Lonchura striata: one gene and its partners. The protein of the gene in region 2 purifies or fractionates together with the protein of the main gene of each other region. This does not show direct contact. Links are inferred from orthologs where the notes say so. Each region holds a gene or a part of one and is shown on either strand. Other genes may lie near its edges.

Region 1 (7,142 bases), on a different chromosome or scaffold from region 2:
CTGCTCTTTCTTCTTCTCCAAGTACAACATGGCGCGCGCCGGCAGACCGCGGCGGCCCGGCCGCACCGGCCCGCCCGGCGCCCGGGCCAGGTCGGCGTGCAGCTGCTGCAGCAGCCCGCGGCAGCGCAGGTTGCGGCGCGGCTCCCAGGTGTTGGCCGACGAGGGGTAACCACGCCACTTGACCAGGTAGAAATCCTCGTTCTGCGTGGGTGGGGGGATAAAGGCGGGGTTAAAGGGGGGTTTGGGGTAGGGGGTGGGCAGTGGGGACCCCCAGGTGTGGGGACTCAAAAGGTCTGGGGGGTTCCTGGAGTGACCGCAAGGTCTGGAGACGCTGGGGGGTCTCATGAGGTCGGGAGGGACGCGGGAATCTGGAGGACTCTGAGGGTCTCACGAGGTCTGGGGGTTCCTGGGGTGACCCCACTGTGGGGGTCCTTTGGGGGTCTAAGAGGGTTCAGGGGGTCCTGGAGTGACCCCAATGTCCAGAGACCCTGTGGGGCTTTTTTGGGGCTGGGGCTTCTTGGAGTGACACCAATGCCCAGGGACCCTGTGGGGCTCTTTTGGGCTGGGGGTTCCTGGAGTGACCCCAGGGACCCTTTGGGGCTTTTTTGGGTCTGGGGGTTCCTGGAGTGACCCCAATGCCCAGAGACCCTGTGGGGCTTTTTTGGGGCTGGGGGTTCCTGGAGTGACCCCAATGTCCAGGGACCCTGTGGGGCTTTTTTGGGGCTGGGGGTTCCTGGAGTGACCCCAGGGACCCTGTGGAGCTTTTTTGGGTCTGGGGGTTCTTGGAGTGACCCCAATGCCCAGGGACCCTGTGGGGCTTTTTTGGGTCTGGGGGTTCCTGGAGTGACCCCAATGCCCAGGGACCCTGTGGGGCTTTTTTGGGTCTGGGGGTTCCTGGAGTGACCCCAGGGACCCTGTGGAGCTTTTTTGGGTCTGGGGGTTCCTGGAGTGACCCCAATGTCCAGAGACCCTGTGGGGCCGAACTGGGTCAGAGATTCTTGGGGTGTCGAAGCCTGGGGACCTTAAAGGAGACCCCGACGTCCCTGTGGGGGCTCACGAGGCCAGGGGGGTTTTGGGGTCACCAGGGGGTCCCCGTTTGCCCCCAGGGGGTCTGGCAGTGCCCAGTGTGGGGGTCCTGGGCCAATTCTGGGTTTGGGGGTCCCAGTTTGGGGGCCTGGCTGGATTCCTGGTCTTTGTGGGGTGGAATCCCGGTTTGGGGGTCCCGTGTAGGGGTCCCCGCTCTGTTCCCAGTGTCTGTGGGGGTCCCGGTTCGGGGGTCCCGGGTCAGCTCCCAGTTTGGGGTGCTGATTTGGGGGTCCCGGGTCAGCTCCCAGTTTGGGGGTCCCGGTTCGGGGGTCCCGGGTCAGCTCCCAGTTTGGGGTGCCGGTTCGGGGGTCCCGGGTCAGCTCCCAGTTTGGGGGTGCTGGTTCGGGGGTCCCGGGTCAGCTCCCAGTTTGGGGGTGCTGGTTCGGGGGTCCCGGGTCAGCTCCCAGTTTGGGGGTCCCAGTGTCTGTAGGGATCCCGATTTGGGGGTCCCGGTTCGGGGCTCCCGGGTCGGTTCCCCGTCCGGAGGTCCCGGTTCGGGGGTCCCGTCCGGGGGTCCCGGGTTGGTTCCCCGCTCGGGGTCCCGGGTCGGTTCCCCGCTCGGGGTCCCGGTTCGGGGGTCCCGTCCGGGGGTCCCGGGTCGGTTCCCAGCTCGGGGGTCCCGTCCAGGGATCCCGGGTCGGTTCCCAGCTCGGGGTCCCGGTTCGGGGGTCCCGTCCGGGGGTCCCGGGTCGGTTCCCAGCTCGGGGGTCCCGTCCGGGGCTCCCGGGTCGGTTCCCCGTTCGGGGTCCCGGTTCGGGGGTCCCGGGTCGGTTCCCCGTTCGGGGTCCCGGTTCGGGGGTCCCGGGTCGGTTCCCAGCTCGGGGGTCCCGTGTCGGTTCCCAGCTCGGGGGTCCCGTCCGGGGGTCCCGCGCCCCTCACCCGCACTCGCCGGTAGTCGCAGATCGTCTCCACCTCGAACTCGGCGAGGTTGCGGCGGGTGACCCCCAGGGCGCGGCACCGCACGCGCTGCAGCCGGCACAGCTCCTGCAGCCGCGGCCAGGGCGACAGGCAGCACACGGAGCACTCTGCGGGCGGCACCGGGGCGACAGCGTCAGGGGACGGGCGGCACCATCGAGCCGAGCCGAGCCGAGCCAGCCGAGCCGAGCCGAGCCGAGCCGAGCCGAGCCGAGCCGAGCCGAGCCGAGCCGAGCCTCTCCCGCCCGTTCCCGCCACTTCCCCCCGCTTCCCTCAGGCGCCAACGGCCGCGCGCGGGCAGCGCCGCCGGCCCCTCAGAGCGCCCCCGGCCCGGTTCTCCCCCTCCCGCAGCCCCGGAGACCCCCCGGGCCCGCCCCGCTCTCGCCACCTTTTAAATTTTCCGCCATTTTCAGCCGCCGCCGCTTTTTTTTTTGTCGTTTTCCGCCTTTTTTTTTTTTTTTTTTTTTTCTTTCTGGCGCCGCTTCCGCCCGGCGGGCAGCGCGGGGGGCGGGGCTTCCTCTGCCCGCGCCCAGCGCCCATTGGCTGGCCCGGCTGCTGATTTGCATAGTGACAGCAGCCCGCGCGCCTTCCATTGGCTGATGCGGTGATTAATTTCCATACCGACACCGTCGCGCCCCTTCTCTATTGGCCACCGCGCCGCTTTATTTGCATAATATCTGATCCCGCCATTGGCCGCCGCGTCGATTGATTTGCATAGCGCTCCCAGCAGCACCCGCGACTGTTCGTTTACATACTGGTGCGAAGGGACCGGTTTCCATTGGCCGCGGCGCTGCCTCATTTACATATCGCTCCCAGCAGCGCCCGCGCACGGCGCCGATCCCGAATTCCGCCGTTTTTCCCCCATTTTCCGCGCGGTTTTCCCGGCTCGGAGCCGCTGGAAGCGCCGGGATCCCCTCGGGGCCCCTCCCCGAGCCGCTGGATTCCCGCTCCCTCTCCTCGCTGCCGGGGCTCATTAAACGGTAATTAATGAGCGATTCATTAACGAGGCGCATGGTCACGTGACTCCTGCGTTTATTTGGGGGGGGGGGGGGGGGCACGAGGGGGGGAAAAAAGGGGAGGGGGGGCAGGAAAAGCCGGGGCCCCTCCCCCCCCGAGCTGGGGGAGGGGCGCAGGCGGGGTGGGGGAGGGGTGGGGGGGGCCCCAATTTGGGTCTGGGGGCGTCTCGAGGGAGGGGGAGGGGCAGGGGGGGTCTCACTCGTCCCATTCATCATCATCCTCCTCCTCCTCGCTGGCTGTGCCTTCATCTGGGGGGGCGACAATGGAGAGGGGTCGGGGGGTTTTTTTGGGGGGATTTTGGGGGTTTTGGGGTTGTTTTGTTTTAATTTGGGGAGGGGTCTCACCCGAGGAATGGATGACGCGGCTTCGCTTCTGCATCACGTCCATCAGGGCCCCCACGAGCCCCCCCGCGCCGGGACCCGCGCCCACCTCGGGGGTCTCAGGGGTCTGGGGGGGGGGGTGGGAAATGGGGAGGGGTCAGGCAGGGTCCTCCCCCACCAGCCCCTCCCCCACGGCCACGTCAAAAGGTCAGGGGAGCCCCCCAAGAAATCACGAGACCACCCACCCAAAAAAAAGGGGCATGGAACAGCCCCTCCCCCATCCCATGGAGACCCCCAAAGGTCACAGGACCCCCCCCTTGGACACCCCCCCCCAATTTTTGGGGTCTCCTCCCATTCTTGGGGTCCCACTCCCATTTTTGGCTCCACCCCACCCGTTTTTGGGGTCCCCATCCCAATTTTTGGTGTCCCCCTCCCTATTTTTTGGTGTCCCCCTTCCATTTTTGGGGTCTCCATCCCCATTTTTGAGCTCCCCCTCCCCATTTTCGGTCTCCCCCTCCCCATTTTTGGTGCCCCCTCCCCATTTTTGGTGCCCCCTCCCCATTTTCGGTCTCCCCCTCCCCATTTTTTGGTGCCCCCTCCCCATTTTTGGTGCCCCCTCCCCATTTTCGGTGTCCCCCTCCCCATTTTTGGTGCCCCCTCCCCAATTTCGGTCTCCCCCTCCCCATTTTTTGGTGCCCCCTCCCCATTTTTGGTGCCCCCTCCCCATTTTCGGTCTCCCCCTCCCCGTTTTTGGTGCCCCCTCCCCATTTTCGGTCTCCCCCCCCCATTTTCAGTCTCCCCCTCCCCATTTTCGGTGTCCCCCTCCCCATTTTTGGTGCCCCCTCCCCATTTTCGGTGTCCCCCTCCCCAGTTTTGGTGCCCCCTCCCCATTTTTGGTGCCCCCTCCCCATTTTCGGTCTCCCCCTCCCCGTTTTTGGGGTCCCCGACCTTGTTGAGCGTCACCCCCTGGCGGATCTGGTCCAGCAGCGCCCCCCGGCCGGGGGGGGTCGCGGGGGGGACCCCGGAGGGGGGAGGGGGCGGCGGAGGGGGGGAGGGGGCGGGGCGGCGGCGCCCGGGGGGGCGGGGCCTCGCGGGGGAGGGGCGGGGCCTCGCGGAGGGGGAGGGGCGGGGGGAGGGGCGGGGCCGGCGCGGGGTGGGGGAGGGGCCGGGACCGCCGAGCGGGAGCGGGAGGAGGGGGGGGAGGGGCGGGGGGAGGGGCGGGGCTCCCGCGGCCCGGGGGGGGAGGGGGCGGTCCTGGGGGAGGAGAGAGAGGAGGGGGAGGGGTCAGAGGGGGCACGGGGGGGCACAGAGACCCGCCGGGTGCCCCCAGGTGTGCCCAGGTGTGCCCAGGTCCCTCCCAGGTGTGCCCGGCCCCACCCCCAGGTGTGTCCCAGGTACCCCCAGGTGTGCCCAGGTGTGCCCAGGTATCCCCAGGTGTGCCCAGGTATCCCCAGGTGCCCCCCAGTTGTGCCCAGGTGTGCCCAGGTACCCCCAGGTGTGCCCAGGTGTGCCCAGGTACCCCCAGGTGTGCCCAGGTACCCCCAGGTGTGTCCCAGGTACCCCCAGGTATCCCCAGGTGCCCCCCAGTTGTACCCAGGTGTGCCCAGGTCCCTCCCAGGTGTGCCCAGGTGTGCCTAGTCCCACCCCCAGGTGTGTCCCAGGTACCCCCAGGTGTGCCCAGGTGTCTCTAGGTTTCCCAGGTCCCTCCCAGGTGCCCCCAGGTGTGCCCAGGAACCCCCAGGTGTGCCCAGGTCCCTCCCAGGTGCCCCCAGGTGTGCCCAGGAACCCCCAGGTGTGCCCAGGTCCCTCCCAGGTGCTCCCAGGTGTGCCCAGGTGCTCCCAGCTGTCCCCAGGAGCCCCCAGGTCCCTCCCAGGTGTGCCCAGGTGCCCCCCAGGTGTCTCTAGGTTTCTCCCAGCTGTCCCCAGGTCCCTCCCAGGTGTGCCCAGGTGTGCCCAGATGTGCCCAGGTCCCTCCCAGGTGTGCCCAGGTGTGCCCAGATGTGCCCAGGTCCCTCCCAGGTGTGCCCAGGTGCTCCCAGCTGTCCCCAGGTCCCTCCCAGGTGTGCCCAGGTGTGCCCAGGTCCCTCCCAGGTGTGCCCAGCTGTGCCCAGGTGCTCCCAGCTGTCCCCAGGTCCCTCCCAGGTGTGCCCAGGTCCCTCCCAGGTGTGCCCAGGTGTGCCCAGGTGTGCCCAGGTGCCCCAGGCGCCCCGTGCCCACCCTGGCGCCGCATCTCCTCGCGCACGGCCTGCAGCCCGCCCCGGCGCTCGATGAAGTCGTGGATCAGGCGCGAGGTCTCGGCGTCGGCCAAGTGGCGCTCGCTGACCCCGGCCTGGGCGAAGAGGGACCGCAGGGCGGGGTCCATGGCGGCCAGCTGGGGACAGGGACACGGTGAGGGGACAGGGACACCCCGCGGGGTCAGTGTCACCCTACACAGGGTCAGTGTCACCCCTCGGGTCACTCTCACCCCTCAGGGTCACTGACAGCCCACACAGGGTCAGTGTCACCCCACGGGGTCAGTGTCACCCCACGGGGTCAGTGTCACCCCACGGGGTCAGTGTCACCCCACAGGGTCAGTGTCACCCCATGGAACAAGAGGGACCGCAGGGCGGGGTCCAGGGCGGCCAGCTGGGGACAGGGACACGGTGAGGGGACAGGGACACCCCGCGGGGTCAGAGTCACACCCCGCGGGGTCAGTGTCACACCCCGCGGGGTCAGTGTCACACCCCGCGGGGTCACTGTCACACCCCACGGGGTCAGTGTCACACCCCTTGGGTCACTGTCACCCTACACAGGGTCAGTGTCACCCCGCGGGGTCAGTGTCACACCCCGCGGGGTCAGTGTCACCCCGCGGGGTCAGTGTCACACCCCACAGGGTCAGTGTCATCCCTCGGGTCACTGTCACCCTGCACGGGATCGTTGTCACCCCTCAGGGTCACTGTCACCCCACAGGGTCAGTGTCACCCCACACAGGGTGAGTGTCACCCCACACAGGGTCAGTGTCACCCCTCGGGTCACTGTCACCAGGGTCAGTGTCACCCCTCGGGTCACTGTCACCCTGCACGGGATCGCTGTCACCCCTCGGGTCCCTGTCACCCCTCAGGGTCACTGTCACCAGGGTCAGTGTCACCCCACAGGGTCAGTGTCACCCCACACAGGGTCACTGTCACCCCTCGGGTCACTGTCACCCCCAGGGTCACTGTCACCCCTTGGGTTACTGTCACCCCTCAGGTCACTGTCACCCCACACGGGATCGCTGTCACCCCTCAGGGTCACTGTCACCCTGCACGGGATCGCTGTCACCCCTCGGGTCACTGTCACCCCTCACAGGGTCGCTGTCACCCCAGGGTCACCCCATGGGGACCCCGGGCCAGGCCCAGGGATGCCACCTGGGCAGGGACATCTGTCACCCCCCGTGGGGTCACCCCGGGGTCACTGTCACCCACTTGGGGGAGGTGTCACCCACATCGAAGCCACCAGTGGGGTCCCACCCGATGTGACCGACGTGCCTGGAGGGGGAGGGGAGAGCGGTGAGACCCCCGCGACCCCCCGGAACCCCCCAGACCCCAAAATCCCCCTGGAGACCCCCCAAAACCTCCCAAGAGATGGCCCCAAACCGACCCCCACACCCCCCAAACCGACCCCCACATCCCCCAAATCGACCCCCACACCCCCCAAACCGACCCCCACATCCCCCAAACCGACCCCCACACCCCCCAAACCGACCCCCACATCCCCCAAACCGACCCCCACATCCCCCAAACCGACCCCCACACCCCCCAAACCGACCCCCACATCCCCCAAACC
Region 2 (6,988 bases):
TTCCCTATTCTTTCCAGCTTTTTTCACAGCAAATTCCAGAGTTATCCCTCCAGAATCCCTATTTTTATCCCGGGATCCCTCAGTTTTATGGGAACACATCCCTGGCATCCCCCCCATCCGCATTCCTCAGAGAATTCCCTTTTTCTCGCCTCCAAAATCCCCTTTTCTCCCCCCAAAAACTTCCCCACAGGACCACAGGGAAGATTCCCGGGATAACCCCGGCTCCAAAGCCAGTTTTTCCTGGGAAAAGCTTTCCCAGCTCTTTCTCCAGACCCCCAAATCCCTCTGGGACTCACAAAACGTTTTTCCAGCACCCAAAATTCCCAGAGCTTTGTCTCGCCCAGCTCCCAAAATCCCAGCAAAGTTCCCCCAAAACAGCTCCTCCTCCATTCCTGACCCCAGCCCCGCCCCAAATTCCCGAATTTCCCTCCCAAGCCCGGATTCCCGGGATTTTTCCTGCTTCCCGCCAAAAGTTGTCGCTTGTCCCTCCCCATCCCGCGCCCTGCCCGATTCCCGCTTTTCCTTCCCCTCATCCCAAGGGGGTTTGAAAGCCCCGTCCCCAAAATCCCTTTTTCCCCTCACAATTCCCCTTTTTCCTCTCACAAATCCAACTCTTCCCTTCACAAATCCCACTTTTTCCTCTTACAAATCTAACTTTTCCCCTCACAAATCCCACTTTTTCCTTTCACAAATCTAATTTTCCCTCATAAATCCCACTTTTCCTCCTCATAAATCCCACTTTTCCCTCACAATTCCCAGGTTTTCCCCTCACAATTCCCACTTTTGACCCTCACAAATCCTACTTTCCCCCTCACAATTCCCTTTTTTTCCCGCTCACAAATCCCACTTTTTCTCCTCATAAATCCCACTTTTCCCTCACAATTCCTGGGTTTTCCCCTCACAAATACCACTTCCTTCCCTCACAATTCCCTTTTCCTCCACAAATCCGTTTTCCCCTCATAAATTGCAGGTTTTTTCCCTCACAAATCCCAGTTTTTCTCTCACAAACCCCTTTTCCTCCACAAATCCCAATTTTTTGCCCTCAAAATCCCATTTTTTTCTCCTCACAAATCCCCCTCTTCTCTGTCCCCTCAAATCCCACTTTTCCCCCCACTAAAATCCCTCTTTCTTCCCTCCCCCCAAGTCCCATTTTTCCCCTCACAAAATCCCTTTTTCTTGCCCCCAAAATCCCGTTTTCCCCCCTCACAAATTACCCTTTTTTCCCAAAAAAACCCCCAACCAACCAAAAAAAAAAAAAAAAAAAAAAAAAAACCAAAAAAAAAACCACAACATTTTCACCCCACAACTTCCCATTTTCCCAACGTCTCTCTCTCCATGGGATCTGCCTCACCCCAAAACTCTTGAACCCCAAAACTCCTGAACCCCAAAACTCCCCTTTCCCCCGTGCAGCTCTTTTTGGGGTCACAGCCCCACCGGCATCCCAACATTTCACACATCCCATCCCACTGATCCCCCTTTCCCACCACCCCAAATCCACCCCTGCACTGACCCCATCCCAAAACCCATCACTGACCCCGCCCTGCACCCCAAAATCCATCCCTACACTGACCCCAGCCCCAAATCCTCTCTCCATCCTCCCAAATCCATCCCTACTCTGACCCCAGCCCCAAATCCCCTCCTTATCATCCCAAATCCCCTCCTCAAATCCACCTCTACACTGAACCTATCCCAAATCCTCTCCTTATCACCCCAAAATCCGTCCCTACACTGACCCCATCACCCCAAAATCCATCCCTTTACTGACCCCATCACTCCAGAATCCCTCTCTACACTGACCCCAGCCCCAAATCCATTCCTACAGTGACCCCATCCCAAATCCTCTCATTACCCTAAATCCCCTCCCTCAAACCCATCCCTACACTGACCCCATCCCAAATCCCCTTCTAAGCACCCCCAAATCCATCCCTACACTGACCCCAGCCCCAAATCCCCTCTCCATCCTCCCAAATCCATCCCTACACTGACCCCATCCCAAATCCCCTTCTAAGCACCCCAAAATCCATCCCTACACTGACCCCAGCCCCAAATCCCCTCTCCATCCTCCCAAATCCATCCCTACACTGACCCCAGCCCCAAATCCCCTCTCCATCCTCCCAAACCCATCCCTACACTGACCCCATCCCAAATCCCCTTCTAAGCACTCCAAAATCCATCCCTACACTGACCCCAGCCCCAAATCCCCTCTCCATCCTCCCAAATCCATCCCTACACTGACCCCATCCCAAATCCCCTTCTAAGCACTCCAAAATCCATCCCTACACTGACCCCAGCCCCAAATCCCCTCTCCATCCTGCGAAATCCATCCCTACACTGACCCCAGCCCCAAATCCTGTCTCCAACATCCCAAATCCATCCCTACATTGACCCCAGCCCCAAATCCTCTCTCCATCCTCCCAAATCCATCCCTACACTGACCCCAGCCCCAAATCCCCTCTCTATCCTCCCAAATCCCCTCCTCAAATCCCTCTCTACACTGACCCTATCCCAAATCCCCTCATCACCCCAAAATCCGTCCCTACACTGACCCCAGCCCCAAATCCTCCCCTCAGCACCCACAAATCGATCCCTACACTGACCCCAGCCCCAAATCCTCCCCTCAGCACCCCCAAATCGATCCCTACACTGACACCATGCCCAAATCCCCTCACGGACCCCATCCCCATCCTCATCAGCCCCCAATCCGTCCCTACACTGACCCCAGCCCCAAACCCCCCCTCATCACCCCAAACCCCCTCACTGACCCCATCCCCGCCCCCCAGCCCCCCCACACCCCCTCCCCTCCCCCCACGGCCGCCCCGCCCCCCCTCACCCCCCTGCCCCCCCTCACCCCCACCCCCCCGCCGCCCCCCGCCGGCGCTCGGAGCCGGCTCCGCGCTGACCTCGCACAGCCCCGCCGCCGGTGTCCGAGGGAAGGGGCGCGGGGGGCGCGCTCGGGGGTCGGGGGGGGGCCCGGGCCTGGCCGCGCTCCGTCCGCCGCCCTGAACAAAAGAGCCCGGCCAGCGCCGCTGCCCGCCGCGCGCACCGCGCCTGCGCCGCGCCCGCGCGGGGCGCGCCGGGACGTGTAGTCCGCGCCGCCGCCGAGCCGCAGTGCGTTCCGCCGGGCGGCGCGGGGCCTGATGGGAGGTGTAGTCCGCGCCGCCGCCGAGCCGCAGTGCGTTCCGCCGGGCGGCGCGGGGCGTGATGGGAGGTGTAGTCCGCGGAGCGCGGCGGCGCTGCGTGCGCGCGAGGCGGGGTGGGAGGTGTAGTCCGGGATGGTCAGGCCTCTCCGTTCTGCGCGTTGTTAATTAAACAGAGTAATTAACGGTGGGAAAGCCTTCAAGCTCCAGCCGTGACCCAAAAGCGCCTTGTCCCACAGATCAGGGCCCCGAGCGCCACGTCCAGTCGGCTGTGCCCAGCCTGTGCCAGCGCCCAGGGAAGGGTCCCGTTTATGGGTTCCATAAATAATCTTATTTAGGGAATCTTGGAATCGCTCAGGCTGGAAAAGCCCTCTAAGATCTCCAAGTCCAACCCTAGGATCTAAGATCGCCAAATCCAACCCTTCCCCCAGCACTGCCATGACACCCCTGACCCGTGTCTCTTAAGTGCCACCTCCTCGTGTTTTTGGGGATGGGGACTCCAGCACCGCCCCGGGCAGCTGTGCCAGCGTTGTGTTCCCATTTCCGGGGAAAAATTCCTGCTGATGCCCAACCTCAGGCCGCACCCTTTCCTCAGGAAGCAGAGCCTGACCCCCACGGCTGCCCCGCCTATCAGGGAGTCGTGAAGAGCCAGAAGGTCCCTCCTGCTCCCTCTTTTCTCCAGGATAAACATTCCCAGCCCCTCCATGTCCCCTCCTCATCCAAGGGCCGGGGCGGGGGGCGGCACCTGGGACAACACCGGCGTTCGGACTACACCTCCCAGCATGCCCCGCACCGGAACTTCCGCCACCTCCGCGCTATAAAAGCGCGCGCCGCCGGCGGCGCCGCTCAAACGGTCCGCGGGCGGTGCGAGGTGAGGGGCGCCTGAGGGGAGGGCGCAGGTCCGGAGATCTCGGGGATCCCCGGTCCCCTCGGTGCATCCCGGCGGGTCCCGGCGGATCCCGGCTCCCCTCGGGGTCTCCCGGCGTCCCCAAACCCCCGGGAGGATTTGCGGGGCCGGGCCGGGCCTCAGCCCCGCTCCGCGGCCTCTCCCGGCGCGGGGCTCGGGCCCAGCTCCGATCCCTGTGCCGAGAATTCCCAAAAAACAGCCCCGGGAATTCCCCCCGCGGCGTGGGGAAGGAAGGAATGGGGTTCATTCCCGGTTTTCCCTGGATTTTTGGGACTCTCCCGAGCCTCTCCCGGCCCTGGGCTGGGGCCGCGGTTCCCGGGAATTTTCTCCTTCCCTGGAAAGGCGAAACAGCCTCGGGAATTCTCCCAGCCGGCGTGGGAAGGGAATAATTGGGATTCGTTCCCGTTTTTCCGGCTTTTCCCGAGGTTTTGGGACCCGTCGTGGTGCGGGACATCCCCGGGAGGGAGAATGAGGAATCCTTTCCTTCCCTGGGAGGAAAAAGATCCTGAAAAATAATTATTGGGAAAAAAAAAAAAATAATAACCACTTCCAATGTTTTACCGTGTCCAAGGAAAATAGGGATTGAATGGTGTTTATGAACAGCCTCAGGAATTCACCCTCCACAGGGAAAATCGGGAATAACTGGGATTCATTCCTGTTTTTCTGGCTCTGGAGGGTTTTCCGTGGGTGGGAGTGAGGATTCCTGCTGTTCCAGAGTGTTAGGAAAGGTTTTCGGAGGTGGACCAGGATAAAAGGAGCCTGAGATAACAATTAATGCTTTCCCTGGCAGCAATTTCCCTGGAAATGAGGAATTTCTCTGGAATTCTCTCCTTGATCCCCAATCCCAGGCAGGTGAGAGGCAGCAGAGCCTTGGAAAACCCCGAATTTGAGGGAAATAACCCCAGACTGGGAATCCTAGAGCACCTTAAAGTGAAGCTTTTCCCAAATTCCAGAGATTTCCAGTCTTCCCAAAAACTACAGTGTCCCAGAATTGTGGGGGATGCAGAATCCGTGGAAAACCCACTGAAAGGATTTCTCTGAATCTCTTTTTTGTCTTTATTCCCAGATGTTTCCCGCTGGGCTCTGGCTCTAGGATGTTGGAGAACCGAGAGGAAGTGAGGAGCATTCCTGGTTTATTCCCAAATCCTGGAATTGGGGCGAGTGGAATCCTTGGGAATTCCATCTCCGTGGATAATTCCTGGGAGTCTGTGGGGCTGGGCCCAGGACCAGATGGGAGTGGCAATGAATGGGAATGGCTGGAAAAGTGGGACTGGAAATGGCTGGAAATGCAGGGATGGGAAATGGGAATGCCTGGAAATGCGGGAATGGGGAATGGGAAATGGGAATGTCTGGAAAAGTGGGAATGGGAATGTCTGGAGCCCCTCAGACCCATTCCCAGGAAGCTGGAGAGGCAGGAATGGGGTGGATCCCTGAGCTCCTGATCCCATTCCAGGACAGCGGGAATGGGGTGGATCCCTGATCCCATTCCAGGGAAGCAGGGCTGGTGGATCCCTGATCCCGTTCCAGGGAAGCAGGGCTGGTGGATCCCTGATCCCATTCCTGGGAAGCAGGGCTGGTGGATCCCTGATCCCATTCCTGGGAAGCAGGGCTGGTGGATCCCTGATCCCGTTCCAGGGAAGCAGGGCTGGTGGATCCCTGATCCCGTTCCAGGGAAGCAGGGCTGGTGGATCCCTGATCCCGTTCCAGGGAAGCAGGGCTGGTGGATCCCTGATCCCGTTCCAGGGAAGCAGGGCTGGTGGATCCCTGATCCCATTCCTGGGAAGCAGGGCTGGTGGATCCCTGATCCCATCCCGGTTTCCGCAGGAGCTGACCACGGTGCGGGTGCAGGATCCGCGTGTGCAGAACGAGGGCTCCTGGAATTCCTACGTGGATTACAAGATCTTCCTGCACGTGAGCTGGGAGCGGGATCAGCCCTGGGAATGTCCCGAGCCACGGAGGGGAATCCTCGGGATCCTGTCCTGGGCTGGCTCCCGGATCCGGCAGGGATGGAGATCCAGCCCCTCGATCCCAGGGATAATTCCCATGGAGAATTCCCATGCTGGATTCTCTGTCCAGGCCAGATCCAGCCCCCTGATCCCAGGGATAATTCCCATGGAGAATTTCCAGCCTGGATCCTCTGTCCAGGCCAGATCCAGCCCCTCAATCCCAGAGATAATTCCCATGGAGAATTCCCAGCCTGGATCCTCTGTCCAGGCAGATCCAACCCCTTGATCCCAGGGATGATTCCAACCCTGGATCCCTCAGCCCTCAATTCCCAGTGATTCCCTCCAGGGAATCCCTCCCAGGGTCATTCCCAGGGATCCCTCCCAGGTTTCCCTCCCAGGATCATTCCCAGGAATAATTCCCAGGGATCTCTCCCAGGGATTTCTCCCAGTGATCCCTCCCCAGATCCCTCCCAGTGTCATTCCTAGGGATCTCTTCCAGAATTTCTCCCAGTGATCCTTTCCAGGGTCATTCCCAGGGATTTCTCCCAGTAACCCCTCCCCTGATCCCTCCTTGGATCAATCCCAGTTATCCCTCCCAGGGTTATTCCCAGGAATCATACCCAGGGATCTCTCCCAGTGTCATGCCCAGGGATTTCTCCCAGTGATCCGTGCCCGGGTTCCTTCCCCATGATCCCTCCCATGGTCATTCCCAGCGATCCCTCCCGGATCCCGCCGGGATCCCTCCGGGGCCGCTGCCATTCCGGTGTTTTTCCCAGACCAACAGCAAGGCCTTCACCGCCAAGACGTCGTGCGTGCGGCGCCGCTACCGCGAGTTCGTGTGGCTGCGGCGGCAGCTCCAGCGCAACGCCGGCTCCGTGTAAGGGCTGCGGGATTCCGCCCCAAATCCGGGATCTGGGATCGCCCGGGGCCAAAATCCCACAGATTTCCCAGGCTCCGTGTAAGGGCTGCGGGATTCCGCCCCAAATCCCGGGATCTGG
Region 3 (7,235 bases), on a different chromosome or scaffold from region 2:
TGTTGGACAAGATGACCTTTTTAATAGGTATGTGATTTATAGCCATTAAAAGAGCAGAATTATTGTGACTCTTAAAAGATCTATGATCTGAAATGCCCTGAAGTTTCTTATATAGCTGGACAAAAAAGAGTTAATTTTTTTTCTTACCTGAGATTTCTATTAAGTTGCCCTTGGATAGAAATTTGAATATAAGAAGATAAACTGCTTTGTTGACCAGAACTGCTCTTTGTAAGTTTTATTAGAATATATTTTAAATTACAGCAGATTAAACAATGAAGAAGAATAGCATCCATTCTAATCAATCGAATTTTTCTTTAGGAAGCTTTCTTCCCTCTCCCTCCATAGGTTGGATAAGCTTTGATGGTGCTGATGTACTTGTAAATCCGGTTAGGTGGCTTTCAGAAGGCAGAGGTAAGAGTCCAGGAAATGTTATGCATGGTTGAGCAGATACCCAGATGTGACTTCTTAGAGGACATGTAAGCTTATCAGAAACAGAACAAAATTGATGAGGGTAAAATTTGGCATGGCCAAACTCTGATTCTTCTAGGCAGTTTCTTAGTGAGCCTGTCCTCCTAGCCGTTCTTTACCATCCAGTGTTCTTGTTCCTTGGATTCTTGAAAATAAATCACATGCTTTCATTCCACTTTTAGGAATGAAGCAGTTTTTATTGTTTTCTGAACTAATACTGAATTGTCAGCTTCTGATGAGTTTACTATAATGAAAATAATTTGTGGGCACCCTGGGAGGCATTCCCTGGGTTGGGGAGACACAGGAGGCTTCCCTCAGGGGCTTTTGGGACCTCATTAGCTCCTTCCCCTGTTACTATGTCCCTCAGCCACTCCCTCACTATTCCCCTATTTGCCAATCATCCTTGTACTGCCCGAGGGCACAGTTCAGCCCGGACCTCGGGGGACAGGGAGAAACCAGGATTCCCCTCATGAGTGTGCCTTGGACCCTGAACATCTCACCATGTGGCTGAATAAATCTGTGGATACCATGCAAAGGCCCTTTTTGCATCCTTACCCTGGATCTTATTAACAATATTCTGGCTGCAGCACATAACTTTTTATTGGTTCTTGTCAGTTCTGACAACTGCTGAAATACAAGTTGGTAAACAAGCCTTCCAAAATACTCCAACCCAAATGTTCCGAACATGTTTTTATAGAGGTTCTATAAAAGGTGCAAACCTTTTAAAAAGACCTAAGTCTTTATAAAAAGCTTTCTCAGTTACTATATAAAAGTTACAAAAACTTAAAAATTATTCCATTTCCAAGGCGGGTACTATGAAGTGACAAAGTTCCATAAGTCTTTCATAATTTCCCTGATCAAAGCAGTTATTTGAGCAACAGGCAAAGGCCATCCAATTAGGAACACATATGGAGATTTGCACCAGGGATTATCTGGTGTCTAAAATGCAGCTGTTTTCTCTGTAGATCTTCTAACATTCCTCTTTTTCTGAAAACTCGAGAAATGCCTGATTATCTAGTTGACTGGATTTTACTGGAAGTATTTGCATGCCCGTTTGAAGGCACGTATGTGCATCTTCCTTTTGCCAGCTCCATACCAACTTTGTTTTCATTTGCTTGCTGTTCTGGTTTGCAAGCAAAACCAGTGAGAGACTCCAAGTCAGAAATACAATTTATTGGGAAAAGGGAAAAAGACAAAAATACACACAATGTTACAAAAGGAAGACAACTGACAAAGCCAGAATACAACCTGACACCCCTCTGGCCAGCGTGCTGGTAGCAGTCCAAATTGGAGTGGCTGCAGTCCTCTTGGAATGGCAGATGTGGTTGCTGTGTCTTCTTGGAAACCTGTGGAAAGGCTGCCTCTCTGTCTAGAAATCCCTGGATTTATCCAGGTGGGAATGCCTAGCTCCTCCCCCTGGGTGGAGCATCTCACAATGGGCTGATGTTATTCTGAGTCATGAGGTGTGTGGCAACTCCTACTCGGATTATAATAGGAAACATCTTGGTCTTCAATTTGGACACTTGCAAATACCTACTTCCTGTAGGAACACAAACAAGAGTGGTGCAGATTTCATGTAAGGAATAAAGCTCTCAATATGAACACAGTCTGTCACTGGAGGAGGTTGCCCAGGGAGGTTGCCAAACCTGACTGGCCAAAACAGTGCCCTGGCTGCAATGGTTGAGCCTGCTTATAGGAAGCTGGACTGGGTGTCCTCTTGAGGTTCCTTCCAAGGTGAAATGAGAATGGTTCTGAGAAGTAGAATGAATAGGAACTTGGCATTTTGTGGTAACTTCTCACTTTGAAGAGGTGCAGTGTTAGTGTTTTTCCTTTTTTTTTTTTTTTTTTTTGTAATGTAGAGAAATGATAGTAAAAGGTAGTTAATTTGAAAACTGATGTCTTTGACTACCAAAATACTGTGCAGACCGTTACCTTGTCTTTTAGACTAGTCTTAAAATACTGCAGTACTGCTGGAAGGGAAGAGTTGCATTTGTGATCTTTGAAAAGTCAAATGTAATTAGTTGGGTGTTACAATTGGTGATAACAAATGTAGAAATGAAATGAACCTGGAATAAAGCTCCACTGGGTATATCATTATGGAGATGTTATCTGAACAAGCAACATGTGTAGAAATACCTTGACGGCTAAAATGCCTAAGCAAGAGTTGGATGGCTGTCTTAGAACTGAATTTGAGACATCAGCTGCTAAAATTATTTTATTTTGCTAAAAACTTGCCTTGGTTCTGTTTATGAAGTGGCACTAGTCTGAAAACTTAGTGGTTTATCAGGTTTTTGGAAACAACAATTAAAAGCAGTGAAGAATAAGTTTTTTACTTTTAGACAGGCAATGCAGTAAAATGATCGAGACTCTTGGTAACCCTTGTTCAATTAAACTCTAGTCCTTTGTTGAATTTGCTGATTAAGAATGGAATGTGGAACAAATTGTTGTGCATTGTTCCATGCAACAAATGCATGGAACCAAAGTGCAAACTAAAGCTTAAGGAATGTCCAAAATATAAGAAAAAAAAATATTAGTATGAAAATGTGGATAATAAACTGCATAACAGTCAAGGAATTAAACTGAGGACTTGAGGGAGTAAGTTTAGGAGGTTGATATTTGGTGACCTTTATGGTGGGGCAGTGCTGGTCTAATGGATAGAGAGACTCCAAGAGGGTAGATTTAGGTTGGATATTAGGAAGAAATTCTTAACTTTGAAGTTGGTGAGGCACTGGCAAAGGTTTTCTAGAGCAGTTGTGGATGCCCCATCCCTGGAAATATTCAAGGCCAGGTTGGATGGGACTTTGAGCAACCTGGTTTAGTGGGAGATGTCCCTGCCCATGGGAGTAAGTCTGAAATTAGATGATCTTTAAGATCCATTCTAACCCATACTGTTCTGTGATTGTGGTGCAAGATCCTTTAAGATCCTTACTCCCAAGAAGGTTGTTTAAATACCTACTGAATAACATTGCATGTGATTGCACATGATGGCCTTTGGATTGAAGACCAACTCTTTGAAAACTGGAAAATAATTTATATTCAAGTTTTTTTCTGCTATGGTGGAGGTTTTGGTGTGTTTTTCTTTCACCTGGATTAATAATTTAAGGATAATTAATAATTTTATTTAATTTTTTCTTTTGCATTAATAATTTCAGAATGATTACTGGTTAAGAGAACTTTGAGGTACATGAATGTTGCATACTACACCCCTATAGACAGTTTCTTATTTGTGAGCTAGACATGCCTCAACAAATGCCCACTTCACCTTCTTTAGTAGCATCGGTGTATGAGTTGGAAGACTGAGATGGGGAAGCTGTTTCCAGTGGAACCTAATGTATTTCCTTCCAGCTAATCACCACTGGGCATGGTGGTGTCCAGACAGCTCTGTTGTTAAACTGCGCTGGACTGTGGGGTTGATGTGAATAACTTGCTGTCATAGAGGGACTGATCTTAAAGCTTTAACTAGGGACTCTGCAAATTCCTGGTGGACTTCACTTTAAAAAGAATATTTTATGTCAGATTTTTGCTCATTGTATTTTGAGAGATTGTCAGACCATTTACTCTGATTTATTCCATTCTGTATAGGTTCCTGTTCTACATCTACCCTGATGGTATCAGAATGTCTTCTGGACTTCTTGATGATAAAAAACATTAGAAAACAAGACTAGCATCTGTCAAATGGGGTTCCCTCTCCATTTCTCTCTCCACACCTTTCCTTTCAAGGGAGAAGAAGCAAAGAATAGTATGTGAGTTGTATGAATTTTAATCATAAACCCATCAGTTGTATGTTTTGTACATATATTAAGGTTTGGGGTGATTACATACAGAACAGAATATTTTTTATATGGTTTGTGGGTTTTGAGGATTTTGGTTTTGAGGCTTAGCTTGTAGCTGGTGTCTTATGTGCAAGGGGATTTTGCAACTATTTGCATGAAAGTCATCATTCAAAGTAGAGCTTTCATGTTGGCAGGGAGTTTGCTTTTTTGGTAAAGTACAGTTTTTCAAGACATTTGAGACTGTATGTGCTAAAGAACTGTTTGGAGAATTCCTCTGTTTCAGTATTTGTTCTTTTTCCTGTACAAATGTGTCCTGGATGGGTGAATTGTTTAGCAGTAAGGACTAAGATGTTATAAATGTTCCTGGATACTCTGTCAGCTATTTAAGCATCAAATACTGGAGAAGCTTCCAGTGACCTTTTTCAGTGCAGGCTTAGGGTTAGGTTTTGTGTTCATTGTAGTTTCTTAAAGCTCAATCTAAATTGCATCTTGCTGTAATATAGGAAGGAGTTGACAAAGGCTGAGCTTTAACTTCTAAAGCTGAGCCTATGGAGATACCTTACAAGTTTACAAAAGTAGAAGCTTCTGCAGGAAATCTAGATTTTACTAGCAATCATATTTTAAGCATGTACATGCTTGACAGCAAAGAAAAATATCAGAGACTTCTCATCTTGATGCTAGGATTTAAGGTGAAAGGTGTGGAATTTCTTATATTATAGTAATTTTCTGAATAGAACTTAATAAAACTCTGGTGTTCATATTCTTTTGCAAAAACCCTACAAAACCAGTGTTCCTGCCACGTAGATACAAGGAGATTTGAAAGAAATATTTGGAATTTTCTGTAGATAGAGGAAATACAAAGAATTCCTGCCCGCCCCTCCTCCCCATTAGATTCTGTTTCCTTTAAAATCAGTCAGGGGTTCTACTTGGGAAATGCTAATGAGCCCACTTCTTTGGCTTAAGGATTTTGGGTTTTCATACTTAATAAATGGCATCCTGGCCCATGTCAGCAAGAGCATGTCCAGCAGGACTGGGGCAGTGATCAACCCTGTACTAGGCACAGTGAGGCCTTACTTCAAGTGCTGTGTCCAGTTCTGTGCCCCTCAGGAAAGACATTGAGGACCTGGAGTGAGTTCAGAGAAGGACAGTGAAGCTGGGGAGAGGTCTGGAGCACAAGTCCAATGAGAAGTGGCTGAGGCAGCTGGGGGTGTTTAGCTTGGAGAAAAGGAGGTTAAGGGGAGATCTTACCATTATACAACTGCCTGAAAGGGGGTGTAGCTAGGTTGGGGTGGGTCTGTTCCCCCAAATAGCAAGTTACAGTAAAAGAGCAAGTTGCACCAGGGAAGGTTTAAATTGGATATTAGGAAAAACTTCTTCTGAAAAAGGGTTGCCAAGCACTGGAATGGGCTGGCAAGGGAGGTAGTTCAGTCCCCATTCCTGGGGGTATTTAGAAGACACATAGGTGTAGTGATGAGAGGCATGGGTAATGATTGAGGTGGGTTAATGTTTGAACTCAGTGATCTTAGCGGTCTTTTCTAACGGAAATATTTCTGTTCTATGACTTTTCAGATTTTAGTTCTTATTTTAATACACTTAAATGCAATTGCCTGTGTTCAAGTATTTAGTCCCTTTTTTCATTCTCTTTCATTTTTCCTCTTTTTTTTCTTCTTCTTTATTTTTTGGTTGTGATGTTGTTTTTTTTCCCCAGGAAAAGTGCAAAATGTTTCAAATTCCTGTTCAAAACCTTGATAATGTAAGGAAGGCTCGAAAAAAGGTAAAGGACATTCTTGTGGATCTTGGGCTTGACAGCTGCAGGGAATTGTTGAAGGTAAAGTATTTGAAAGAATGTAAACTAATCTGAAATGTAAAATCCTGACAAATATCTGTCATAGATGGTGCCACATATTCTGTTAGTAATGTTTCCACAAAAAGAAACAGTACAGCTTTAGGGAAAAATACCGTAGACTGATGAATTGTTATTTGTGTGCTATGCCGCAACTCTTCAATTCTTTTGAGATTTCAGGCAGATAGGGATGAGTCTCCTCAAAGACATCCCGTCCCACATATGAAAGGCAAGCTTCTGAAGGGACATACAAATCATCTGCGTTTCTGAAAATTGATAAGTCTTCAAACTTTGTGTCTGGTGAAAAATACCAAAATTATCTTACTGAGTTGTAGTTTGGTTCTGTATTTTAAAAAGTATATGCAGGTGTACTGGGGTGATTAAGATAACTCTTGTACCACTGTTGCCACTTCGAGGAGAAAATTTTGTGCATTGGTCAGGAAGAATGCACACCATCAGACTGGCAAACGTAATACCAGAAAAGGTGCAAACACAGCAATGTAACTCCATTTCTTAAAAATAGTGTATTTCAGTGAGCTGGTGCAGAGGCTTTTGTGGCTGTTGAGTACATGCATACCTTCGCATTGACAGGAGGTTCATTGCATCTGTATGGCAGTACTAAAGTAGGTTTAACACTCTATAAGGGTGCTGTTTTGTATTTTGTGATGGTTTCTTTATGATACTCTGTAAGTAATTGGAAGAAAAATGTTCAAGACTACATGCATAACTGATTTTGGAACAGTCTTTGTTATTGCGGTTGTACAGTTTTGTATATATTTAAACATTGTAACAGCTCAAGGAAAATCATAATGTCTACTAATTTCCATTTACTTGCTGTTTTTATTTTGTTACTATTCTATAATCACAGTTCTAACTCAGAAGCTGAGTCTGTCTTGACTATTGGAAGCAGGAATGTTTTGATGGTGACAGGTTTTTACTATGAAATTGCTTGTGGTCTCTTTGTTGCATGGACTTCAATGGTAAATAAGTAATAAATTGGTTTGTATTTAATTGAGTTTTTGGCGGTATGTATAATACACATTTAGTTGGTTTTGCTTCATTTTTAAGTGAAAAATGGTGGTGGGAAACCCAGCAAGCATTTGTAGAAAAACCTCTATGACATTTGTGCCAAAAAATACCATATTTTGGTT
Region 4 (6,876 bases), on a different chromosome or scaffold from region 2:
TGAGCAATAGGAGTGTCCCAAGCTAATGCACAGAGAGGAGAGACCTCCTGATGTCCTCCCAGCCAACACATCCAGCCATGTCAGAGATGGTCCCTGGATTCTGCACCCATCTTCCACAAGGATCCCAGTTAAGATTAAGCCATACTTCCTACAGCCTCTCAAAAACGTCCCAGTGGAAGAGAAGCAGAAAAATGCAGAGGAGATACCTATACATAAGAAGGAATCCATGCAAGTGTTGGTACAACATGACTCTGGCAGCAAACAAGGATGTCTATACATTTTAACTCCATTCCAATTTCACAGCTACAAATCTTCCAATCACTCCTGGTAATTTTTAATAAACACATTCTACACTTAGAATTGCAACAGTTAATATATACTAGTTTTTTATATACTGCATTTTTCCTTTACTGAAGATAAGCTGTGACTGTCCAAGGGAAGCAACAAAGGGCTCAAAGCTAAAGATCTAGACTCTCAGTGAGCACAGAGAATTAGACTGCTTTCTACATTACATGAAGAAATTCAGAGCACAGCAACAAGTAGTCTGCTACATCATTGTGTCTTGGTTCTCAGGGGCAGAAGAATATATAACTCTTTCCTCTCAGAAGAATATATAACCCTTTCCTCTCAATGAAGCCTGGTGAAACAGAAGCAGAGAGAGAACATGCAACATGCTTTAATGACACCAACACAGCTGGGAAAATGACCCAGAAGAAAGCCCTGTGATTTTCTGCAATGTGCTACAACCACACATAAGATTCCCTATACCAGTCACTGCGCAGGAAGGATCACTGTTGGCTTTCATCAGCCTTGGAAGTTTCTTGCAGACTAACAGCTCAGTCACAACCTCTGTCAGTGAGGAGGGTCAACAGCAAATTTGTTCTCAGAAAAAGAAAGCTGAGGTAAGTGAGATACAGCATCATCATTGCCTCTGATAGCAGGAACAGATCCAGACTTTTGCTGGGTTTAAGCAAAAGGAAAAATTACATGTTCTTGCAGTGCCAAAAAGTAAATGGCAGTTTGGTGGCAGCATGACACTTCTCTTGAAGCTACATCCCTGTATTGTGACTGACAAAGAGAAGTTTAGCTCCCAGAGGAAGCTGCACACAAACACCCCACCGTGGGGCAGAGCAGGCACTTCACAGTGCACTAGGCAGGTACGGGCATCACTTCCAAGGCACCATGAACAAGACAGGCAGCCCTGTGCTCTTGCTAGTCCAGAAGCATCCACAGTATCTGACTACAACCTCACATCTGAACTCCCAGCTATCAGCCAATCTACTCAGGCTAAGCTCCACCAGCAACAATTGCTGAACAAGGTCTTTAAAATTACACATCTACACAAGGCACAAACACTCTGACCCAACCAGCCACTGAAACAGCAAGGAATGCTAAGAACGTGAGAGCCACAAGTTCCAGGAAGGAAATGCTGCATTATGAAGTTCCATGTTTCCAGGAAAGGTTCAAGTCAGGAGAGATCTACAAAGTGACAATACTTGATACACATACAGATGACTTAAGAAAAACAAACCACCTAGAACTGCAACAATTTTGCAATATTTCAATCTTTGTGAAGAGAATGACAAGTCTACACAACATTAGCTCTTGATAGAAGATCTATCAACAGTCAAAATTGCAGAGTAAAATCAGTATACCTTCGACAGATTCAAGACAGAAGAAATTAATTCCATGTACTGCTTCTACAGCTTTCTAATTCCAAATTCACAATTCCACTTCCAGTTGGCTTCCAAAAATGCCCCCAAAAACATTACTGTCGCAGTGCTGTACCTGAGCTAATGAAGTGCCACTAGACCCACTAGAGCATAACAATCTAGTCAAGATCTGAATTAGGGTCGTGAAACTTAGTAACATGCTAAGAATTCCATTAACACTACCCTGAAAGAATATGGAGTTCAAGGGAAGATTACAGAAGAGAAATGTGAAATCCAAAGTTTCTATATTCCTCACTTGCAAAAAATTCATAGAATCGTTTAGGTTGGAAAAGACCTCTGAGATCATCAAGCTCCAACCTATGACTGAACACCACCTTGTCAAGTAGACCATGGCACTCAGTGCCACATCCAGTCTTTCCTTAAAAAGCTTCAGGGACAGTGACTCCAACACCACTCTGGACAGTCCATTCCAATGTCTAATCACTTTCGCAGTGAAGAAATTCTTCCTAATGTCCAGTCTAAACCTCCGTTGGTGCAATTTAAGATTATGTCCTCTCGTCCTGTCACTTGTTGCCTGGGAGGAGAGGCCGACCCTCACCTGGCTACACGCTCCTTTCTCGCGGTTGCAGAGCGCTAAGGTCCCTCCTGAGCCTCCTGCTCTCCAGGCGGGACAAGCCCAGCTCCCTGAGCCGCTCCTCACAGGACCTGTCTCCAGAAGTGCCGTGAGCCTTGGCTCTGCACCTGCTCCTCTGCTCCCACGTGCGACGCAGCCGCTCCCGGCAGCTATTTCTGTCACCGGGGAAGGGCCCGGTCCCGGCGGGGACACGTCCCGTGCCGAACTCGCTATCCCGGCACAGCGGACCGGCGGCGTGCTCCTCCTGCTCCTCGCTCCGCCGGCATCACTCTAACTTTCCTGCGGGAAGGGGGTGCCTGAGGGCTCGGCTTTCCCGGCTCCCCGCTGCCCGGCCCTCCCGGGGCCGCACCCCCGGGGCCGGGGCCACGCCGCCCGCCCGTTCATGCCGCCGCGGCGGGCGCTCTCCCTCGCCGCCTCCGCTCTCCCTCTTCGCTCCCGTGCGCGGCCCCACCGGTTTTGTTCCCCCCGCGCCGGCACCGCCAGCCGCCGCCGCCCCCCGCGCGGCGGGGGCTGGACAAGGGGAAGGCCCAGGCCCGACGCCCAGGGGGAGGGAGGGGAGCGCGGCGGGCCCGGGCGGCGGGAGCGGGGCCGAGCGGGACGCGGCGGCGGCACTCACCGTTCGGCACTCCGGGACGGCGGGCGCGGGCCGGGGGGGCCGGGCCGGGCTCCCCCCGCCAATGGCGGCGGCGGCGGCGGCGGGAGGCGGGGCCGGGTCACGTGCCGCGGCGGCGGCGGCGGGGCCGGGGGCGGGGCCGCGCTCCGCGCCCGCCGGCAGGGGGCGCTGCGCACGGGGCCCGGCCGCGTCCGGGAGCCCGCGGGGCTCGTCCGGCGCGGGGAGAGTTCCAGAGCCGCAGAAACACCGAGTCACAAAGCCACAAAAAGGCTGCAAAACACCTCCGAGGTCCTCCACTTGATCAAGCACCACCGTGTCAACGGGGCCATGGCCCTCGGGGCCGTGTCCAGTTTTCCTTAAACGCCTCCAGGGACGGTGACTCCACCACCTTGCTGGGCAGCCCATTCCAAAAACCAGCCACCCTCTGAGTACAGAAATTCTTCCTAAAATCCAGCCCAAAAATCCCTTGATGCCGTTTAAGGCTGTGTTCTCTCATCCTGTCGCTGGTGGCCTGTGAGAAGAGCCTGACCCCAGCCTGCGGCAGCTCCTTTCAGGTGTTGCAGTGGTGGCAAGGTCTCCCTGAGCCTCCTCTTCCCCAGGCTGAGCAGCCCCAGCTCCCTCAGCCGCTCCCTGCAGGACACCTCCATCGCTCTTCCCCGGATCTGCCATTAGCATCCTTCCCCAAATGTGTGCAGGGCTCTAGGTGTGGGCTCTGCACAGCCAAATAGGCCACACCTCAGGAACTGTGTGTCCAGTTCTAGACACCTCAATTCAGGAATTGCTTTTTGTCTTTTGGGTTTAGCTGTGCATTTTGTCTGTAATGAAAGAATGAAAGAGTTACAGAATCACAGAACCAATTAAGTTGGACCTCTGAAATCAACTCCAACCTGTGAATGAGCACCCGCATGTCAACCTGTCCATTTTTTCCTTAAACATCTCCAGGGACAGTTACTCCCCGGAGGTGTTTAAGGAAACACTCTCTGGAGGCTGAGGGGCATTTTGTTAAGACAGAAGCTGAGGATAACCCAGGTTCTTGTTACTAGATCCCTTGGGGGACGTTAGTGTGAAACAATACTGAATGATCAGTAGTTGTAAATAAACAATGTAGGTTTTATTATAGAACAACTTGGCTGCAAAGGAAAACAGGTATGGAGCTGTTTGGGTGGTTATTATCTATAGTAATACAACATGAAAGCATTGCAATGTGAAAGTGCAACATCACCCAAGGACACATACAAGGGGAAAGAAAGAAAGGACAAAGGAAAGAAGAAAAAGGAAAGGAAAGAAGGAAAGAGGAAAGGAAAGGAAAGGAAAGGAAAGGAAAGGAAAGGAAAGGAAAGGAAAGGAAAGGAAAGGAAAGGAAAGGAAAGGAAAGGAAAGGAAAGGAAAGGAAAGGAAAGGAAAGGAAAGGAAAGGAAAGGAAAGGAAAGGAAAGGAAAGGAAAGGAAAGGAAAGGAAAGGAAAGGAAAGGAAAGGAAAGGAAAGGAAAGGAAAGGAAAGGAAAGGAAAGGAAAGGAAAGGAAAGGAAAGGAAAGGAAAGGAAAGGAAAGGAAAGGAAAGGAAAGGAAAGGAAAGGAAAGGAAAGGAAAGGAAAGGAAAGGAAAGGAAAGGAAAGGAAAGGAAAGGAAAGGAAAGGAAAGGAAAGGAAAGGAAAGGAAAGGAAAGGAAAGGTGAGGATCTCACCACCCTAAGCCTCACAGTAAGACTTGATTACTGTCCAGCGATTGTGGTCAAAGTGGTGGTCAGGTGATGGACGAAGTCCCGAAGAAGTGGTGGGGATGAATCTGCGGAACACATAATCTCTTGGGTTTATATTCACTCTGGTTCAAGTAAATATAAATCAGGTGCCTTCTCAGGACCAGGGAGCTTCATGTAATACTGTAGATCATGGTGCAGTTGAATCAGTTTGCCCCATTATGTCCCATCAGCAGAGATGAACCTGCTCTGGTCACACTTGAGTTCCCTGGCATTTCCAGGGGGAGGAGGGCAAGCCCCACAGCCCAGTGGTTTGTGCAAGGAAGCACAGCTTGGCACGACAAGGGGCACAATTCTCTCCACTGGATCCAGCGCTTATCTCACTCTCAGCCCATCATTCACCCTGTGCCTTATCAGATCAGAGGTTTAGCCATTACACAACTAAAAGTTCACCTACTCCCTGTCAACCAAGCACCCTGGCATCTCCACAAATGAAGAATGTTTTGAGTCATTGTCTCTTAATAGTTCCGTCTCTCACACATCCTCATTGCTCTCTACATCTTCTAGAGGAGAGAAGCAGAGGGAAAGATGCTAAGCTTTTCTCCTTGGTACCCACTGAGAGGATAGGTAGGGATGGCTCAGAGCTCCTTCAGGCAAGGTTCGGGCTGTAGGTTTGGGCTGTAGGTTCGGCAGCATTTCCTTACCAAGAGGGCGGCTCTGTGACAGGCAGCATTCAGCAGTGATCTGTTACATCCCCCGGCTGCTTGGATAGAAGCAGGATTTTTCACCAGTCATATCTAAGTTTCCAACAAAATCAATCCTGCCCATGCTCTGAAAATGTAGTGGAAGTGTAGTGATTAACTACAATTACTGATTGATGAGGAATTTATTTATTTTTTCCACATCTAGATGCCATGGAGAAATCTAGCACTGCAGGCTAGATACCCTCCAGGTGTTCTGTGTAGTCACGTCCCAGGCTCATATCTCTTTAACTACAGGTTATACATTTATCATTGGGGATTGTGGTTTTCCATGACTAACAAAACCCAACTGGTCGACTCTATCCAAATCTGCAGCTAAGAATATTATTGCTACTTATCCCCTTGTACTTGCATTTTATCTGCTTTTTATTACTCAAAATGCTGACTCCTGCTTTGTTCATTCATGGAAATAGCTGTAAAGTCAACCCAAGGCCAACTAATAACCTGTAATTTTCACTTGATCCTGAACTTGTCATCTCTTTCTGATTTGCCAGTGCTTTCATTCATCTTACAGTTTTAAAATTAATTTCCAGCTACTGTAGTTAATTATTTCCATTGAGAATGGAATCAAACACTTAATTAAATTTCAGATAAACCTGGTGTACCCCATTTATTAGGTTTCTTCTTAGACAGACTAAGTAAACTTCTTCCATGCTATTGTTACCTGTAAGTGATTTGGAGTACTTGGAGGATTTCCTTTCAACCTAGTGAAGAAGTTCTCTCAAAGGAGGTTATGAAATCCCACAGAGATTTTTTTTTTTCTGGATTATCAATTACAGAGCATAGGTAAAGAACACATCTCAACTAACTGCAGTGAATAACTTTTTTTAAATAGACTTTTTTTTTTACTGTATGGTTATACTTTCTTTTTTTAACTTGTTTAGAACTTTTTTTCCTTTACATCTAGGGATTAAATTTGATTTATGAAATCATGCTAAAGTTTCATAAGTCTCCCCCCTTTCGGTTATATTATTGTGAAAAACACTTGAATATCATTTGCAGTTCTAGATTTTTTTTTTTTAATAAGCAACATGCAAAAATTTACCATATCCACTGGTGAAATCTCTCAGTAAAAATGCCAGCAGGCTTTTGAAGGCATGGAGTTTAATCATCCAAGACAGCTATTTTTTCATTCAATTCCTTCCCGTAGGCTTCTAAATTACTTTCTGAAATGGCCTTTTGCTTATTATGCATTAGTAACTGTAACAAATACAGCAATGAATGTTACCTAACAGTGTAGCTAGGGAGATCACAATTCATTGGAGATACATCTAAATACCCCTGGTTATATTTTTACCTTATGTAACATATTCACAAATGTTTTCCTCCTTGTTATTTGATCCCTGATTTAGGAACTTTAAAGTTCCCAATATATAAGCAACTTTAATCTTTGTATTTCAGGATGTTTTTAAATGTTAAGGAAACAAGACTGAGCCTTTTCAGCCCTGAAAATGTTTCCATTTCTCCTTTGATATCCTGATTTTCTTGACTGAATGCCTG

Evidence for each region.
Region 1: the proteins of CBX1 (region 2) and SUV39H1 purify together in Homo sapiens (affinity purification with mass spectrometry; 3 studies listed by BioGRID and IntAct, with this or other methods). This does not show direct contact. The link is inferred for Lonchura striata from reciprocal best matches to the Homo sapiens genes CBX1 and SUV39H1.
Region 3: the proteins of CBX1 (region 2) and ADNP2 purify together in Homo sapiens (affinity purification with mass spectrometry; 5 studies listed by BioGRID and IntAct, with this or other methods). This does not show direct contact. The link is inferred for Lonchura striata from reciprocal best matches to the Homo sapiens genes CBX1 and ADNP2.
Region 4: the proteins of CBX1 (region 2) and CHAMP1 purify together in Homo sapiens (affinity purification with mass spectrometry; 6 studies listed by BioGRID and IntAct, with this or other methods). This does not show direct contact. The link is inferred for Lonchura striata from reciprocal best matches to the Homo sapiens genes CBX1 and CHAMP1.

Annotation. Positions count from the first base shown.
Region 1 is NC_134638.1:1,546,648-1,553,789, forward strand, and holds the start of SUV39H1 (histone-lysine N-methyltransferase SUV39H1), read right to left. Parts: upstream 3,015-7,142; coding exon 2,805-3,014; intron 2,741-2,804; coding exon 2,623-2,740; intron 2,112-2,622; coding exon 1,966-2,111; intron 202-1,965; coding exon 1-201. Other genes in the region: actin nucleation-promoting factor WAS, read right to left, coding at 3,214-3,266, 3,363-3,465, 4,522-4,624, 5,540-5,709, 6,802-6,844. UniProt on the Homo sapiens protein: Histone methyltransferase that specifically trimethylates 'Lys-9' of histone H3 using monomethylated H3 'Lys-9' as substrate. Also weakly methylates histone H1 (in vitro).
Region 2 is NC_134627.1:8,317,184-8,324,171, reverse strand, and holds the start of CBX1 (chromobox protein homolog 1), read right to left. Parts: upstream 3,002-6,988; 5' UTR 2,901-3,001; intron 1-2,900. UniProt on the Homo sapiens protein: Component of heterochromatin. Recognizes and binds histone H3 tails methylated at 'Lys-9', leading to epigenetic repression. Interaction with lamin B receptor (LBR) can contribute to the association of the heterochromatin with the inner nuclear membrane.
Region 3 is NC_134603.1:84,601,174-84,608,408, reverse strand, and holds the start of ADNP2 (activity-dependent neuroprotector homeobox protein 2), read left to right. Parts: upstream 1-4,221; 5' UTR 4,222-5,838; coding exon 5,839-6,069; intron 6,070-7,235. UniProt on the Homo sapiens protein: May be involved in transcriptional regulation. May play a role in neuronal function; perhaps involved in protection of brain tissues from oxidative stress. May be involved in erythroid differentiation.
Region 4 is NC_134604.1:90,839,326-90,846,201, forward strand, and holds the start of CHAMP1 (chromosome alignment-maintaining phosphoprotein 1), read right to left. Parts: upstream 3,011-6,876; 5' UTR 2,924-3,010; intron 1-2,923. UniProt on the Homo sapiens protein: Required for proper alignment of chromosomes at metaphase and their accurate segregation during mitosis. Involved in the maintenance of spindle microtubules attachment to the kinetochore during sister chromatid biorientation.